Linked DNA regions of Drosophila melanogaster. The gene in region 1 interacts genetically with each later gene. Each region holds a gene or a part of one and is shown on either strand. Other genes may lie near its edges. The genes, in order: Hsp27 and slbo.

Region 1 (8,876 bases):
TTCACTTTCTTCCTATCTGGCTAAGATATATCTTTTATTTTTTAGGTCTTGCGGGGATTGGTGTCGTCTGGGAACCGGCGGCGATCCGTTCTGGCCTCCAACTGGACTGCGTTTGAGCCCTTATGGCTGAATGTCGACGCTTTTAAGCGGCTGTGCAGCGCTGAATGGAAAACCTGGTCACTTCCAGTCGGCTTCCATGCCAGCTCCCAGGCGAAAAACTATGCAACTCCTCCAGAGAACTCACCAAGGGGAAGGGCTACCCATTAAAACAGTCAGTCAAGCCATGTACTATGCCATTTTCTGCTATATACACCGAAATAAGAGATACTTTTCCTCTACCGCAGATAGCCAGAGAACAAAGAAAGTACTCGTACTCGTAGTCGGCAAGAAACCAGACAAACCAAACTGCAACGTTGCAAAACCAAATAAAAAAGATACGTAAAAGAGGCAAACCGGCTTGAAATCGAAGCATATATGCACGAATATCCCCCCCAAGAGATGCCATCTTCCTTGTACCGGCGATATACATATATGTACTCATATATACAAATATCCATATAGACGGGGTATATGTAAAGTGGTCGTGTTGCAGCTGAATTCCCACTGCCGGCATTGAGCGAACAGCTGAGAGTCTGAGTCTCGTGCCGGTTGCCGATGCGGATTCGAGTCGCCGGCGATAAACAACTACAACAACAGCTGGCTGGCTGGCTGGCTGGCAGGGCCGCCTGGAAGCTACAAATCCGCTGTTGCCAGAGCTGGAGGATTGGCAAGCCGGCGTCGCGTAAACATGCGCAGTGACAGCGTCTGGGGCAACCCATACATATGGTATCTCCATATACATTTGTATCTACATACATACATACATACCCTGCCACACAGATGATGATGATATTGCTGGATTCGTATGTGGTTACATAGCCAAGTGCAAGCGATGGCAACCGGTTGAAAAGCTCCAAAATGCAAAAAACAACAACAACACCAACAACATCCAGACGGGGGCCAGACAGTGGAGACTTTGCTAAAAATTTACTGGGGCCCCGAACTCAGCTGCGGGATACAATTCTGTATGGCCATATATTATATTATATAGTATGTTTGTATTGATATGGTGTATCTGCCAGCTGCAGTCGGAAAAGAGCAAAAACCTTCAGAGATTGCTGCGTACGAGATGCCCCCTTGTACATACGATACATTCCCCATGTACATACACACTGGGTACTTGCTCCCATTTACCTAACCAAGGGGAAGAAATCCGCCGGACGAGCATGCTCGCACATTATGTGGCCACCTTTTTGAATAGACAACTTCCACTGCGTTGGCGTTGGATTGTCCAAGCCCTGGGCACCAAGAGTACTCTACTTCAGTGGAGGAGGAGTGGTGACAAGAAAATGGGGCCATAAATAAAAACTCGAATTATATAACAACCAGAGATTGAGTTCTATAGCAATGCCCATGTATTATATGGTTATTCAATCGCTACTGTAACAACAAATTGTAAACAAATTGTCATTTGATTTGGTTATTACGAAGTAATTCTGAATTCTAAACAATGTGTATATAAGCTGAATATTTATCAAGTTGTACCAAGCAAATGTGCAGCTAAATCTTACATACATACATATGTATTTGTCTTAAGAAATTGGTCAAATATAATAAAAGGTTACAGCCTCGTTTTCAATAAACCAAATATTGACTATTAGAATTTATTAAATGTTTTTAATGTTTTTTGGTTTATGTTTTCATCTATCGACCTTTGAAATTCAAAATAGTTGCATTACATTTTATTCAAATAATTTTTACATCCTTCGAATCCTTTATTGTATGAATGTACATATGTTCCAAATCGTATCATTTTTACATTTTCTTACTGATTGGAGTAATAATACGCTTACATCCCATGGGTTATTACCTACCCGGCATTAACCACTTATGTATTTTAATTAGATTTCCCCACTACAGAGCCCCATTCTTGGATATTAATTAAAGTTAATAGCTTAAATGCCAGGCCATAAAAAGAAGAACTGTTCTGCAGTCTCGAAGTTTCGCGAATTTACTCCATCCTTCGTGGAATATACTCCAACCTTCCTATCTGCTATGTATGTACATACATACGTGCTTACATACGTACATCTATACATACACATAATATTTGCCGGTGCTGATGCGACTTATCACTCCACCAGGCCTTTTCATTCCCACTCCCCTAGGAGATTGCTCATTTTCCATAGCGATACTCTCACTTTCAATGGCAGATAATGCGTAATTGCGGCAAATTCGAGAACTCTGCGATATTTTCAGCCCGAGAAGTTTCGTGTCCCTTCTCGATGTCGATGTTTGTGCCCCCTAGCACACAGACACGACGCGCACACACACAGCGCCGACGGGCGCACGCACACTACGATAGCGAGCGGTTGTATAAATAACCGGCACTTTCGTGCAACCGGCGTCAGTTGAATTCAAAAAGCCAAAGCGATAACAGCTAAAGCGAAAGTAACCTATCAACAAAAGAAGTTTATTCTTTGAAGGAGAATCATCTTGAAGCAATTAAAAAACAAAAATGGCAAATATTCCATTGTTGTTGAGCCTTGCCGACGATTTGGGCCGAATGTCGATGGTGCCCTTCTATGAGCCCTACTACTGCCAGCGCCAGAGGAATCCCTACTTGGCCCTGGTTGGACCGATGGAGCAGCAGCTGCGCCAGCTGGAGAAACAGGTGGGCGCCTCGTCGGGATCGTCGGGAGCCGTGTCGAAAATCGGAAAGGATGGCTTCCAGGTCTGCATGGATGTGTCGCACTTCAAGCCCAGCGAACTGGTGGTCAAAGTGCAGGACAACTCCGTCCTGGTGGAGGGCAACCATGAGGAGCGCGAAGATGACCATGGCTTCATCACTCGTCACTTTGTCCGCCGCTATGCTCTGCCACCCGGTTATGAGGCTGATAAGGTGGCCTCCACCTTGTCCTCCGATGGTGTCCTGACCATCAAGGTGCCCAAGCCACCGGCAATCGAGGATAAGGGCAACGAGCGCATCGTTCAGATCCAGCAGGTGGGACCCGCCCATCTCAATGTGAAGGAGAATCCCAAGGAGGCGGTGGAGCAGGACAATGGCAACGATAAGTAGAGGACTCGTTCCGAGAGATGCCCTGCATTATTTAACCATTATCAAAGTCATACATCTGTTTTATAAGCTGTAGTTATCCAAGGACACTTCACTCATACACAATAGCCATTAAGGGTGTCCTGCTTTAATCTTAGTTTGGAATATGTATTACTAAATTGGCGAAATTAATATTACCCATAAAAATAAATAACAAGTACACTTACTTATAATTGTGTTTGGTCTGTTTTTCTGGTTGGTTATGGGTTACTATTACTATTACTTTGGGAATTGTTTGGCTAGCTTGGCCCTTTTTCCTGTGATCCCGGTTTCTAGAATTTACTTTCTGCATTGTATATTGCATTGTTGTGTCACGTAAAATGGCATTTTTATTTAATTGTTGTTTGTGTACATAACTGACTTTTTACATTACTTCGGTAAAGAGACTTGAAGCTATGAATGTAAGGAACTTCAGTCAAGGTTAAATCCTTATGTAAAGCATGCATAAGTACATCATGTACATACATACGTACATAAGAATATACATCCCTTTTCACTCTCTTCTTTTTAATGAATTTCTGTCATCTCTACAAGAGATGTACGTTATGTACGTCCTTATAGCACGTACCTATGTACATGTATAAATTGAACTTCATTTTTGTATGTTACCGCAAATAATTACGTGCATGCACACATACACATACATATGTATGTATGCATGTAGTTTTGAAAATAATTATGTATTTTGGTTAACTGGTGAACCAAGAATAAAAAGATTCTATATACACATATACATATATATAGAAATGTATGCATATGTACATATAATAATCGAAACACTTGCAACAGACTGGCAATGATTTGCAAAATTTTCAATTGCCCCGTTTCCCACTTCGCGAAGCAGTGGCGAAAGCAACTGCAAAAATGTTTGCAACAAACAAAAGAACGGCAAACATGAGGAGCAGAACGAAGCGAGACAAGGGTTCAATGCACTTGTCCAATGAAAATACAAGCTCTGTTGCACTCTGAAAAGACAGCTTTTAAAAGAGCGATAAGAGAAGAAAATGCTTTAAATAAATACATATATCTGCATATATACGTACATGTACATACATATGTATGTACTGCATTTTAACTGTTCGTTTTGCTTTTTATTCGCAAAGAGAAACTCCCCAGAAAAGAAATGTCAAGAAGTTTCTGGTTCTTTCTCCCTCTCTCTATGAAAAGCCGGCTGTGCTAGAAAGAGCCAGAAGATGCGAGAGAAAACTGTTTGTTGAATTACGGGGCGTATTCAAAGGGGCTTTTAAATGTCGCTTAAATTTTAAGTTTGACAGGCTAATAATTGCTTGCCTATATCTAAATATTATTATATTTGCATTAGGGGATCATAGGGAAAACCTTCTCTGCAGGCAAAATCTAACGAAGATGGCAACCCCCCATCATTTTATTAAAGTTCCGTCCCTGGTTGCCATGCACTAGTGTGTGTGAGCCCAGCGTCAGTATAAAAGCCGGCGTCAACGTCGCCCGAGCACAGTCTAAACTGAAAAATTGAAGGCAAACGTTGAAGCAAACTTCGCTAAAAAAATTCGAAAAAGCAAAAAAAATTCCTTTGTCTAGACAGGGTTGTGAATAAAGAGAAAAAAAATCAAAAATGTCAATTATACCACTGCTGCACTTGGCCCGGGAGTTGGATCATGACTACCGCACCGACTGGGGGCATTTGCTGGAGGATGACTTCGGTTTTGGCGTCCATGCCCACGATCTGTTCCATCCGCGTCGCCTGCTACTGCCCAACACCCTGGGACTGGGTCGTCGTCGTTATTCGCCGTACGAGAGGAGCCATGGCCACCACAATCAAATGTCACGTCGCGCGTCGGGGGGTCCAAACGCTCTGCTGCCCGCCGTGGGCAAAGATGGCTTCCAGGTGTGCATGGATGTGTCGCAGTTCAAGCCCAACGAGCTGACCGTCAAGGTGGTGGACAACACCGTGGTGGTAGAGGGGAAGCACGAGGAGCGCGAGGACGGCCATGGAATGATCCAGCGTCACTTTGTGCGCAAGTATACCCTGCCCAAGGGCTTTGACCCCAACGAGGTAGTGTCCACTGTCTCATCCGACGGTGTGCTGACCCTCAAGGCCCCGCCGCCGCCCAGCAAGGAACAGGCCAAGTCGGAGCGCATTGTCCAGATCCAGCAAACGGGGCCTGCCCATTTGAGCGTCAAGGCACCGGCACCCGAGGCTGGCGATGGAAAAGCCGAAAATGGCAGCGGCGAGAAAATGGAGACTAGCAAGTAAAAGACGAAAAGAGGAAGACTAGGAGATGAAGAAGACGAGAAGAGGAAGAAGACTAGAAGAGGAAGAAGTCGTGAAGGAGGAAGAAGACGACGAGATTCGCTGGCGAAGCACGAGAGAAAGAAGAATTTAAAAGAAGAAACGGGAGTGTTGCCGCGCTGCTCGGAGAGAGCAAGACTAAAAAGGACACACCACAACACACCCAATGTATTACATTCACACACATCACATCATTACATCATCATCATAACATCCTAGACTAAGTGATTTTAAACTCCATTTATCATAATGCATAAAAAAAACAAAATTTTAGTGTGTATTATTAGGCTAAACAACTGGAGGATTCATTGCTCCCTTTGAGTTTATACTTTTTGTAACAAGAACAGGCGCAACACTCGGGAGAATTTTGCATTTCATTTGTGAATAAACGAATACAATAAATACAAATACACGAAAAGAAGTCAGCTGTCGAGTTTTTGTTGGTTTTTTTTCCTTTTTAGCTTCGAATCTGCAAATGTATTTGCATTTAGGGTAAACCGGCTTTTGTTGGGTGTCGTTAACTTTCAAGGGGTCTTATGTACATATTCTGTTTTCCTTGTCCTTGAATTGGACTTGTGGAAAATTAAATGGTCAGCCAATTGCTTAACCTTTGTCGACGATTGTTATGATGATTTGTAATGATTTTGCACAATTCAGAAATCGATATAAAAAAAAATGGGAAATGATTTTTGTTTTTCAATTACATTTTGACAAACGTCATGCAAATATTTCCAGTTCCGCGCACACTGAAAGAAAATCCAAGATAAGAACGACATTTAAATAATTTAATCAATTGTTTGCACATATTTATTTAAATATTTAATACATAATAAAAAATTTAGTTGCCCGTTCTGATTTCATATTGGTTGTTTTATGCTCGTAACTTGTAGCGATCATAAGTATTTACTGTTAATTCTATATCTATATCTAAAACGGCTTTCATTCATATTTCTCAGCTGGGTGTTGAGATACGGATATATCTCAGTTTTCTCGGCTCCGTGGAGCTTTCGCTGTTAACCGCGAAAAAGCTTTTAGTGGTTGTCATGTTGCTGTTGTTGGTTTTATCTTAGTTGATGTTAAGTAAAAATGTATTTTATGTATTTTTCTGCATTTTCTACGGCTGCGGCTGCTGTCAATATGTTTTTGCTTGCATTTATGCACGTTATGTATGTATATTCAATGACGCTTAATCACAGATCAATTTTTTAAAATTTCATTTGACTTAGAAGTTAAGAAACAAAACACATCCGAAGCACGAGAGAAAGAAGAATTTAAAAGAAGAAACGGGAGTGTTGCCGCGCTGCTCGGAGAGAGCAAGACTAAAAAGGACACACCACAACACACCCAATGTATTACATTCACACACATCACATCATTACATCATCATCATAACATCCTAGACTAAGTGATTTTAAACTCCATTTATCATAATGCATAAAAAAAACAAAATTTTAGTGTGTATTATTAGGCTAAACAACTGGAGGATTCATTGCTCCCTTTGAGTTTATACTTTTTGTAACAAGAACAGGCGCAACACTCGGGAGAATTTTGCATTTCATTTGTGAATAAACGAATACAATAAATACAAATACACGAAAAGAAGTCAGCTGTCGAGTTTTTGTTGGTTTTTTTTCCTTTTTAGCTTCGAATCTGCAAATGTATTTGCATTTAGGGTAAACCGGCTTTTGTTGGGTGTCGTTAACTTTCAAGGGGTCTTATGTACATATTCTGTTTTCCTTGTCCTTGAATTGGACTTGTGGAAAATTAAATGGTCAGCCAATTGCTTAACCTTTGTCGACGATTGTTATGATGATTTGTAATGATTTTGCACAATTCAGAAATCGATATAAAAAAAAATGGGAAATGATTTTTGTTTTTCAATTACATTTTGACAAACGTCATGCAAATATTTCCAGTTCCGCGCACACTGAAAGAAAATCCAAGATAAGAACGACATTTAAATAATTTAATCAATTGTTTGCACATATTTATTTAAATATTTAATACATAATAAAAAATTTAGTTGCCCGTTCTGATTTCATATTGGTTGTTTTATGCTCGTAACTTGTAGCGATCATAAGTATTTACTGTTAATTCTATATCTATATCTAAAACGGCTTTCATTCATATTTCTCAGCTGGGTGTTGAGATACGGATATATCTCAGTTTTCTCGGCTCCGTGGAGCTTTCGCTGTTAACCGCGAAAAAGCTTTTAGTGGTTGTCATGTTGCTGTTGTTGGTTTTATCTTAGTTGATGTTAAGTAAAAATGTATTTTATGTATTTTTCTGCATTTTCTACGGCTGCGGCTGCTGTCAATATGTTTTTGCTTGCATTTATGCACGTTATGTATGTATATTCAATGACGCTTAATCACAGATCAATTTTTTAAAATTTCATTTGACTTAGAAGTTAAGAAACAAAACACATCCTACACATGGACTAAATAATTACCGTCTCTGGTTGGTTTTTGGGCTTTTTGGCATGGACAACTTAGTGGACATACATATATGTATATGGTATGGGATCGGAGAGGCTGGATAATAAAAGCAGTACACGAATAGAGGATAAATTATACATCGATTTAGCCACTAAATCAATATACTGGTTCTAAATGTTAAGATAACTTAACTTAACTTTTTTTTTTGTGTTTTGTGTTAATCATTGCAGTCTCAAATTGTTTATGGGCTTTGCTATATAAAGAGGAGAACATAGGGATTGTTGGGCCGCTGGCCACGATATGGCTTTTGAAGCCCCTTGGTGTGCGGTATAAAAAATAGTATTTCGATTTTACTTTCTATGTGGATCTCGGGGTCTCCGTCGACCAGCGGTGAATACTTGAGAGAGCAGAGCTTATTGGGGGGAGAAAGAGCGCGCAGATCATAGTGGATCACATCAGATCAGTTGGGCAGGATACTCCATTTCACTTCTGGAGTAGACTTTCACAGCTGCTGCTGAGATTTGGCAACGACTTGAAACTGAGCCGCGAGCGATCCACCTGGGCGTCCGAGGGACCGTAGCCCCTGCTGCTCTTGCTGCTGCTGACCCCATTCACTCCGCGGTCAAAGGATGAGGAGATCACAAGCTGATGGGAATTCCGCTGCTTCTGCTGGCTGCTGGCATAGGCGGCAGGTGGTGATAGTGGCGATGTGGGCAGGTCGATATCCAGCACGGTATCCGCTTCGCCGGCCTTCAGCTTGGGATCCGAGTAGCGACGTAGTTCCTCCTTCGTCGGCTGACCACCTAAACAATCAGTGGTGCAGCAACCAATGGGCAAATCAACGCCCATTATCCCAGAGTGACGGTAGTCGATCTTTGGCGGCGTGCTGTAATCGTAAGGATGTACGGCAGTATCGGGACCCACGCTGGTCTGATCGCTCAGCACATCGCGGTTCTCGAGAAAGATGGACGAGTTGGAGTAGCGCTTTGTCTGGTGCGGCTTGTAAACAAATCCG
Region 2 (9,752 bases), on another chromosome or scaffold:
GAAAAAGATTGTGGTGCTACACTGCGAGAAGAGGGGCTAAAGTGAATATGTTGCATATTTTAGGTGGCAGGAGCTTGACTTGCACAGGAAAAATTCAAATACTTTGTGCTCAAATATCTTAAAAATATTCATGACAGTTGGTTCTCCTTTTGCAGCTCAACTTTTCTTCGAGTGGAGCTAGATGGGCCATTGTTGTTGCGGCGGCTGTATTAGATAGCAAAAGTCAGTCTGCGTCGAAGTCGGAGTCGGCATAGAAAGTGAAACCACCGCGTTGGCCACACGATCGTCGTTGCCAGGCGAACGGCAGCACAAAGGAGAGGGAACGAAGCCCGGCTCTAAGATATAAGCCAAACAACTAACTATTACTCAATCTGTGCTAAAAAGAAAAATAGAGATAGATGAATAGATGTAAAGTTGGTCTCTGCCTCTCTCTTTCCCTCGAACTCTTCCCTCTCTCTCTCTCTCTCTCTATCTCTCTGTTTCTTGCGGCACGAAAATAAAAGTGAAGTAACCCACTTTTTCCGTTATGGTTTTTATAGTCGCTGCAGCTAAAGTCGAGATGTTGGAGCCACAACAATGCGGAGCGGACGAAGTGGAACTGGAGTGTGAAAGATGGATTGGATGACAACGGAATCGAGATGGATTGAAACCGGGATCTGGAGCTGGAGCTGAAGCTGATTGGAGGTCCAATCTGCCAAGCTTAAGCTCGATCATGTAACCCAACATCGTATCTGTGATTAGTGTTGATTCCATTGATATCCAGTTACTTTGGCATATGATTCAATATATTCTGTTTGGATATGTAAGCGAATAAAAAACTGATGCTAATCTTATAAAATCCTAATTATTGTCATACTTAATAGAATCTTTATTAATTCCTTCATAAATCTCTTTGCCCGTCGTTAAGTGTCCCAGCCTTCTTTCATGGCGGCAATTAGCATTTATCAGCGCGGCGTACAGGTGAGACAGAAAGAAGTGTGTTTGCTGCCTCGTCTGCCCGTTGCAGTTGCGAGTCGCGAATTTATCACTTCTCGCTGCCGCCGCTCATAACTCATACGCCTCGTTGCCGCGGCGCCTAGTTGGGCAGTAATTGTGCGGCAATTTCTGAGCGCTTGCCAAAACGCAGATGCATTCGGCATTCGGCAGGAATCCCGCTGCAGGGGGCGAACTTTCTCCGTAAGCTGCTTAGAACCCTTATCAAAGTCAGGCTTAAATGGGATTGGGATGGATTTCGGTTGTGGCTGCGGTTTGTGGCTACCGAGCGACACCCACAAGTTCGAAGCAATTTCACTTTTGGGCCCAGAGTGCATGCGCAATTAGCTTTCATCAATCAAAGTGCTCAACAATGCAGCTAGACAAATTGGACGCACGCAGCAGCAGCAGCAGCAGCAGCAGTTGGCCAAGATACAGATACGGATGGAAAGAAAGTTTTGACCAAAAGGGCTTAGCCCGAGCCCAAATGTCTGTAAGTGATTATCTGCCCCAGGTCGGCATGCGTTTTTTGGCTCTCTGGCTCCGTGGCTCTGTGGCTTTTGTTTGGGCTTTCTCTGGCGCGTTAATTTGTCGGTTTCTCGAGTTGCATTAATTCTTTTTCGCTTTGTCGTTTATAAATTTGCTTTTCGTTTCGGGTTTGTCTTACTGTCAAATTGTGTCAACACGGCCGCCTTGCGATTGTCTGGGGTCCTCCACTTCGCCCTCCTTCCTCCCTGCAATTGGCCCAGTGTCGCGCCTGGCAGCCCGAAATGCATTGCCTTGTCGTATTTGTCCCATCGGAAGACAGCGAAGACAGCGAAGACAGAAGACGGCGGACAGAAGAAAGACCCTGCCCTCCCAATGCGGTGGTGGTGCGTCTCTTTCTGGTCTTCGCCCAGCGTATCGTTTTGTCGCCCAAGTATGGCCGACATTTAATTAGACACTTTTTGGCAGGGCTTTTGCATCAAATTGTGGCTAGGGCTAATTGCAGATTGGTAGTTGAACTGTGGAAATTAAGAAGTTATCTGAAATTCATTTGGGTTTTAGTCAAAACGCACGACAAGCCGATTCTTTGTATAAGGTAAATTTTATTTAATTTGTTTAGATTTGCTTTACAGTTTTCTTTGTTTGTGTATATTTAATTTACGAATATATAAATTAAAATGAGAACATTGCGTTTGCCTTACAATTAATAGCATTCATATCTTCTACGCTCTCGGAAGCGAACCCGTGGAATTCGCTACAAGTTGGTTGATTTCGGGAGGCTTTCCTCTGGGGATTGTGCAGGTAAAGCGATGCTTGATTCTCCGACTTACGAACTAGAGATTTGCTAATGTTGTGTGTCAAGCAGGGCTGGGCGTGGGAGTGGGCGTGGCATCAAGCATAGAGCGAAGCCGCACACCGTCGAGAACTGTACACATTTGAATTAGATGTATAAATAGTTAATAGGTTTTGAAGTTTGTATTTTCGTTCTTCGTTCCTGCGTGTTATTCTTTTTTACATTAATATTTTTAACATTTTTCTTTGGCTTAACTTTATGATAGATATAATGTATAAGATTATGTATAAAAACGTGCGAAATATATATGTTACAGTCGTTAAGAATTAGAATTAAGTACAAAAATATGCTTTACAGTGATAACAAGAAATGGGGACAGAGTAAATGTACAAGGAATGCCACAGCGATCGGCAGAAGAGTTTGGTCTCCAAGCGATGCAGCGGCCCACCAACTTGGCGCGACCGCTCCATCGTCTACGGCCAGAGAGGACAATGAGGAGCAGGAGGAGAATGAACCTTACGAGCTACCCACACAGCATTTGTATCTTTGATTTAGCAGAGTCTCGCTCACACGCACACACTTACGGCTGGAGCACTCACACACTCATACACACACACACACGAGCACTCAAGCATTCAAGCACTCACGCACACACAGAACTCGCAGGACACTGGCTTTAGCTGGCAGCGGCTACAGCGAGTGTTCGTTGGTGTTGAGGAAGCTGCGGCAGACGCGGCTCACTTCGGGATTGGCGTGGTTCATTAGCTGCATGTAGATCTGCTTGTGTAGCTGCAGCTCGTTGGTCATCTCACCAAGCTGCCGAATGAGGGCGTCCTTCTCCTTGAGCAGGCTCTTCACGCGCTCCTCCACCTCGCGGGAGCGCACCTTAGCCTTCTCCCGGCTCTTGCGCACCGCTATGTTGTTCCGCTCCCGCCGCCTGCGGTACTCATCCGTGCCCTTGTCCACATGCTTGTTGCTGTGCTTGCGGTGCTGCTGCTGTTGCTGGTGCTGCTGATGCTGCTGCTGCGCGTGCAGCTTGCTGTGCTGCTTGAGCAGATTGTGTGCTCCTGCTGCGGCCGCCAGGTGGGGCAGGTTGTGGTGCGCCAGGACGTTGGCCGTCGTCAGGTTGGTGAACTGGCTGCCGTTGCTGCTGCCCGTGCTGCCGTTGCTCCCGTTGCTGCTGGGCGTGGTGTTGCCTCCGTTGAGTGGGTTTCCGCCCCCGGTCAAGCCATTCGCCCCCGATCCGTAGCCGTTGTACAGGCCTGCTCCATTGCCCATGAAGGCGGCCTGCTGGCTAGCCGCCTCCTGCAGGTGCCGCCTGTACTCGGGGTCGATGGGCTCCTCCTTGATCGTGCTGGAGTCGGAGCCCACGGAGCTGTTCTCGTCGCTGGAATTGTTGTAGGTGGCGTGCACGGGCTGCGGCATGTAGGCCAGGGCGCCTCCTGCTCCGCCACCGCCTCCCCTGCCCCCGTAGCCGTGCTGGTTCCGCAGGGTCTGCTGCTGCAGGACCTTCGCCGCCGCCGAGACCATTCCGCTCGGCGGCAGGGTGGCCGAGAGTCCGCCCGGACTGGTCACCATGTCGCTGAAGATGCCCAGCGTTTCCGTGTCCCTGAACTGGTCGTCTATCAGGTGCTGCAGGTCGAGCGTGATCTCCTGGGTGGTCAGCTCGTCCAGGTCCGTCTGAGTGGAGTACTGCTGCAGCATCTGCTTCTGCAGCAGGTTGTTGTTGCTGCCCAATGCGGCGACCTGTTGCATCTGGTGCATGGCGTGCTGCTTGACCAGGAGTGCCGCGTCCTGCGACGTGTTGTTGTTCGCATCGGTAGTCTGCTGCTGGGGTTGCTGCTGCTGCTGTTGTTGCTGCTGCTGTTGCTGCTGCTGTTGCTGCTGCTGTTGTTGCTGCTGCTGCTGCGCCGTGGACATGGCCGTCAGTGTGATCTGGCCAATGGTGGCCTGCTGCAGGGGAGGCTCCTTCTTGAGGTCCAGCTGGGCCAATGTCTGAACGGCATCGGCGTACATCTGCGGCGACTCCATGTTCAGCATTTTCAGTTGCGCGAAGGAGGGTAGAATCTTGATTCCTTGTAGAGCGTTAATTTTGGCTGTTTTTAGAGTTCAGATTTGGGAATAAACTTTTGCTCGTTTGGCGCCTAAAGCATTGCACTGAGGTAAGAAGTGGGTCTTTGGAAATGTTCGACTCGGATAGCTCGCTATTCCGTATGCTTCATCTTAGGCTGCCTGGGTGGTCACTGCAGCCGAGCATCGTACTATTGCTTATTATGTTTCCGATTCTTAGCGCAAAATGTTTTATTCAGTTTGTTTACTTTGTTAACTCGACACTGCACTTCTCCGGCCGCACGCGTTCGAACGACTGAAGTGCCGCGGCAGTGATGCAACAGATTTTATACGAGACGGCCTGACGACTGCCGTTGGCTAGTACTCTCGTACTCGTACACGTACGTGTGCTGGTGTTAGAAACGCTCCTGAAGAACCGTTAGCTGAGCGAGCTTTTCTTCGATTTGGATTTTCTTGGCCAGCGGAGAGCGCGCGTCCGTCGCCGACGAGTGGTAAATTGTAACTGTGACAAAACGCGAACGCGAACGCGGCAAAGTGAAAAAGTCTTTGGCGCAGCGACGCAGCCGAAGAAAAAGAAAATGAGCGGCCAGCGCATGTAACACACACACACACACACATTCACTCGTACCGCTCCACACCGAAGCCCCAAGCGTTGCCGTCGCCGTCGCCGTTACAGCAAAGCAAAGGCGGCAGCAGCACAGCACAGCACGAGCAGAGCAAAAGCAAAGCAAGAGCAGGCAAAGCACAAGTAAGCCAGGCAAAGGCAAAGGCAACTACCTGTGGATGAGAGCGAGAGCCGCGATCAGGTAAAAAAGCAAGAGTTTTCCCAATCACTTTTACTCTCGTCGCAAGGCAATTCACTGGGCCATTCTTGTGGTTGCTGTGCGGGCCAAAAGCACGAATGCAAGCAAAGTGCATTTGGTACGAAGCTGGGAGATACTTCTTCAGTTTCCGGAACTTAATATCATATTTGATAGGATAATTACATTTTTTATATAGAATTTATTACATTTATACATGTTCCACATAAGTTAGTTTAGATATTAGTTTAGATATTAATTGTTTAATTAAGACCCCATCCTAGAATCCAGTATTAGTTATGCGCTGATGCAGTGAATTTCATGATAAAACTCAATGCAACGCACGATCGCGTGACGTCACACAAAAGGGAGCCCCAAGGCACCCACACAAGCTCAAGCGAGCACAGACACCAGCAGCGCGCGACGTCGGCAGCGCAGCCAGCGCTCATTATTCCTTGGCTCTCGCTTTCGTTTTCATTTTCATTTTCGGTTCCGTCGCTTTTGCTTTTTTTGGGAGAAGAGCCGCACAGCCGCAGCGAGAAGCAACAACACCACGCCCGCACACACCGGCACTCCGCTGCGTAACCCCCGACCCCCATTTTGGGGCCTTGCCCACTCCGATTTGTGTTTGGGCTTCGACTCGCTTTGCGCCTTAGAAATACAGAAAAGCAAAAAAAAACACAGAAGTGCAGTTACTTGGTGGATCGGGGGATTGGGGGCTTGGGGATTGGGGCCTGTTTTTGGCGCGCATGCGTGACTGCGCAGTGGAAGCGCAACGCATCGCGGAGCTTTCACGTAATAGGCAGCGACGTCTTATTAAAATTAAGACTGTGTTATGAAATTCATAAAAATTAGCACGGCTCGTAGTTTTGTTTATTTAAATGCAGCGATTTGTGAAGTCGCCTTCTCCACTTTTCCCCCATTGGCGCTCTTCTGCTTGGTGCTCACTCCGCTAACTCTGCTCACTCTGCTGACTCTCCTGAGTTTTCGAGTCTGCAATTTGGGTCAAGTTGTCGTTTACTTTCCGAAGGTGCGTCCCCTGCTTTCGGCCCCGCCTCTCGCCCCCGTCTTCTGCCTTCGTGTATGTACCTTTTGTTTACCCGGACTTTATTAATCATACGCCCCGTGCGCCGTTGCACGATAAGAGGGTATTCCGCTGTCGATGACAGGACAGCCACTTTTCTTCGCTTATCAGTCAAGCTATTGCAGCGAATCGGAAATATCGCCGATATCGATGACTGCATCGAGATTGTGCAAAAGTGCTTCCTTGTGCGTCCACAAAGATATTCTTCTGGTCGGGTGTATTTCAAAACGCATTCAACGCACCCTTATTGTTCTTGGGGGATTGCATTGTGCGGTCTGGTTACCCAAGAACTGATTCCATATCGATCGATGGGAAAGGTGATGAAATCTGCAATTTAAATGAGGCAAGATCGATCCATGTGCACCTTATCTTATCAGATTGTTTATGGAGAAACTACTGGTTAAATGGGATTAAAGCAAAGCAAAGTCATTTATTTATTTGCTTATCCTCCTGCTAACTGGAATCGTCCAAGGCTTACCTAAAGTTACCTATTTATAAAAACTTGAAAGCATAAATTTTTTAAAATAAATTTAAAAAAAAAACACTTCAAATTAGCAAGTAGGTGGACTGGCTATAAATACCAGCCCTTTGGCCAACAAGAAGGTGTTAGCCCTGATAAGATTAAAAACGCAAATACCATTGGCCCCCAGTAATTTCACTTTTTAAAATTGAGTAGGGTATTCATAGAGATGCTAGCATAAATCATAGATATTTACCCATTGATACCAAACTTGGAGAAAGTCTAGCAGATAAGCAGCTCTTTATCACCTTGATCCATTTCAGCGTTTTCCCAAAAGGGAAATTGTAGGCGTATTTATCTGCCGTCGACAACGCCCACGCGCAAAGTGCCTAAGAGTTTTATTTATATATTTTGGCAAACGACTGATAAGACGGCCAAAAGCCGCGAATTCGTAAACAAAACAAATACGAGTAGCGGCCACAATTCACAATTCACAACTGGCGTTCGTTGCACTCTGCAAAAAGTTGTCTGACACATGCGAAACTCCGACTGAATTGTGTTTATAAACACGGCCATAATTGGGAGTTTTGGCCAATGATTTCTAGACGGCGTTGTGTTTTGTTTTGTCTTCATTTTATTCGCCACTCGCAGTCAACTTATCTCGATGACGCGTAGCCAATTTAACTCTGCACTTCCTCAAATCCGAGCTCAATCGAAGTGAACTCGAGTCGATGGGGTTGGGTTACACACTCGCTTCATTCTCACGGCCTTGTTTATAGGAAAGACCTTTCTAGGAAGCTTTTTTGTTTTGGTGCGGTGAATTTTGTACTGATAGAATAGATATTAATTCCATAAGTACGCTTCTTTATTGACTCATCGCAGCAGATAAGTTCATACTTTTCACAAAACCCAGTTAGCCAAAACTCCGGTGGTTTCCACCTAATTGCAGTGTACTTAACACCATTTAAATGCAACCAGTTCGACGACCCCAAACTCTTTTCCAAAGGGGATTCTCGTGCTTTTGCGCTTCACTTCTGTAATTCTGACTCTACTTCCACAGAAAACGAGCCCGTTCCCTGTCGCCGTGTGCTGATGAGTACAGAAATTAATAATATTTAGTGCTGATGCGAGGCGATTCGGCAATGAAAGTCGGCTCTTCGGCGAAAACTTTTCGCTGCCCGCTGCTTAGAAAAGTCTTGCCAATTAATAGGAGCGTGAGAATAAAACGCGCGAGCCATCGAGTTCAACCAAAAATAACAAATATTTCAATTATTATATTTTAATCTAATCAAATTTTAAAACATCATTTTGTTTCATTGTTGTCCATGTGTAATTATATTTATAACAATAAAATCTATTTTAAAAATTATGTAAAACTTAAGCATATATTAACTTACTACTTATTTTCAAAGCTATTAGCAAATGGCGCGTAGAAAGTTAAAATACGTTTGAACAATTTGAATTTGAATTTAAGCAGCGCTTGTAAAGCAGTTTTATATCGATAGGTATACTGCTTGCTTAAAAGTTCTCCGATAACTTATGTGGCGCCATCTAGGCAAGAAGTTATGAGTATATGGTGCACTGCTTGGGAAAGGTGACCTGCTTGTCAGTTGGCGCCAATTCATGCAATTCAAAATCTGAAAATACGGCAAGTAATATATTTTAATCATTTATATTAGGTAAAAAGACTTATGTATAGTATTGATAAAAACAAAAGTATTTTATATACGATCCGAGGGAATTTTTGAAATTTCTTAAGTAAATTGTAAGCTGAGCGTTGGTATTTATTGTTCGCCTCTCACCTTTGCGCCCATTTCCATGCTGCCCATCGCCCGATCCTCGAAAATACATCGAAAAAGCAGCCCGATGAGCCCACAACTCATCCTATGGGATGCCTAACTACCTTTGGCATGCGATCGATGGCCCGACGACAAACGCATTGATTGAAATAGTTTATTTGCAGGCCAACAGTGAGTGACCGGCTCTTGGGCCCTCGATTGTGTTGCCTTTTTGTGCCTTCCTCATATTATTTGTGATGTTGGCAGAGCGCAGAGATAATGATGACGAGCTGCCAGGCCGGCCAGAGGCCAAGGAGCCTGGCCAGAGTCCGCTGGTCCACCCCCTTGCGGACTCTGGTGGGGATTGGGGGGCCGCATAGTGGCCGGGGCACGACTGATTGGGATGCCTGGTGAAGCGACGTGCGCAGAATTGACATTTTGTGTGTGCATTTGTGCATTTGTGCATTTGCGCACAGTGGGCGCGATAAGGTCGCACAGTCCGCTTCCAGGCGACTCCGACCACTGCTCTGATTTCCAGGCAAAAGTCAAAGCCGGGCACAAATTAAAAATGCCCCACAATTGCCCGCGAGTTTGAGATCGGGAACGAGAACGAGATCGATCGGGCGATCGATCGACAGCTTCTGCACTGCCAGTGGAATTTTCATATGAGCGCTTGATTTCAGCAAAATTACATACTTGTAATTTTAAAATGCTGCCGAGTGCCGAGAGAGTTGAAAAGCAACAGCACAAAAAAACGCCAAGCATCGCCGAGTCCAGGAATTTTAACCCCAAGTCGCACTGGCAGTCTGAATCTCAGTCCGAGTTCCCGATCCCCATCCCCATCCCGAGTCGTCTTCTTCCAACTGATCACTTACGCACATTTTATCACAGCCAAACTGGAGACATCGCTGTGTGAGCCTCCTCCTCCAACTCCCTCGGCTGGATCGAATCCCGATCCCCCCAATCCCCCTTCGGTTGCTGCGCAGCTTGACAATAAGTGGCTCGCAGTCAGATGGGCAGATCGAATGGTGGCTACCTTTTAGTTCAATGATCTTCGCTAGTTGTTGCAGAATCCCAACTCCAAACTCATCCAGAATGCTGGACGAGTCACTTGAATCACTTGCTAGATATTTTGGTAAAGGCGATTTCCTCTAACTTTTAGTAATAATTGATGTTTCATATTGTAGTGTGGTGCTCCAGTCCAAACTACCCCACATACCCCCTAGCTAGCAGGGAGGAAAAAATAAGTTACCGTTCTACGCGCTGAAATTTGTTGTGCCATCGACGATCCGCAGATCCCAAGCTGCTG

Evidence for each region.
Region 2: of Hsp27 (region 1) and slbo, changing one suppresses a phenotype caused by changing the other (phenotypic suppression), as found in Drosophila melanogaster (one study listed by BioGRID).

The regions. Positions count from the first base shown.
Region 1 is NT_037436.4:9,379,441-9,388,316, forward strand, and holds Hsp27 (heat shock protein 27), read left to right. Parts: upstream 1-4,622; 5' UTR 4,623-4,745; coding exon 4,746-5,387; 3' UTR 5,388-6,254; downstream 6,255-8,876. Other genes in the region: Hsp23 (heat shock protein 23), read left to right, coding at 2,558-3,118; CG4080 (uncharacterized protein), read right to left, coding at 8,345-8,876.
Region 2 is NT_033778.4:24,329,480-24,339,231, forward strand, and holds slbo (slow border cells), read right to left. Parts: upstream 4,829-9,752; 5' UTR 4,292-4,828; coding exon 2,942-4,291; 3' UTR 2,043-2,941; downstream 1-2,042. UniProt on the Drosophila melanogaster protein: Required for the expression of gene products mediating border cell migration. Among the DNA sequences that this protein binds with high affinity is a conserved site within the promoter of its gene.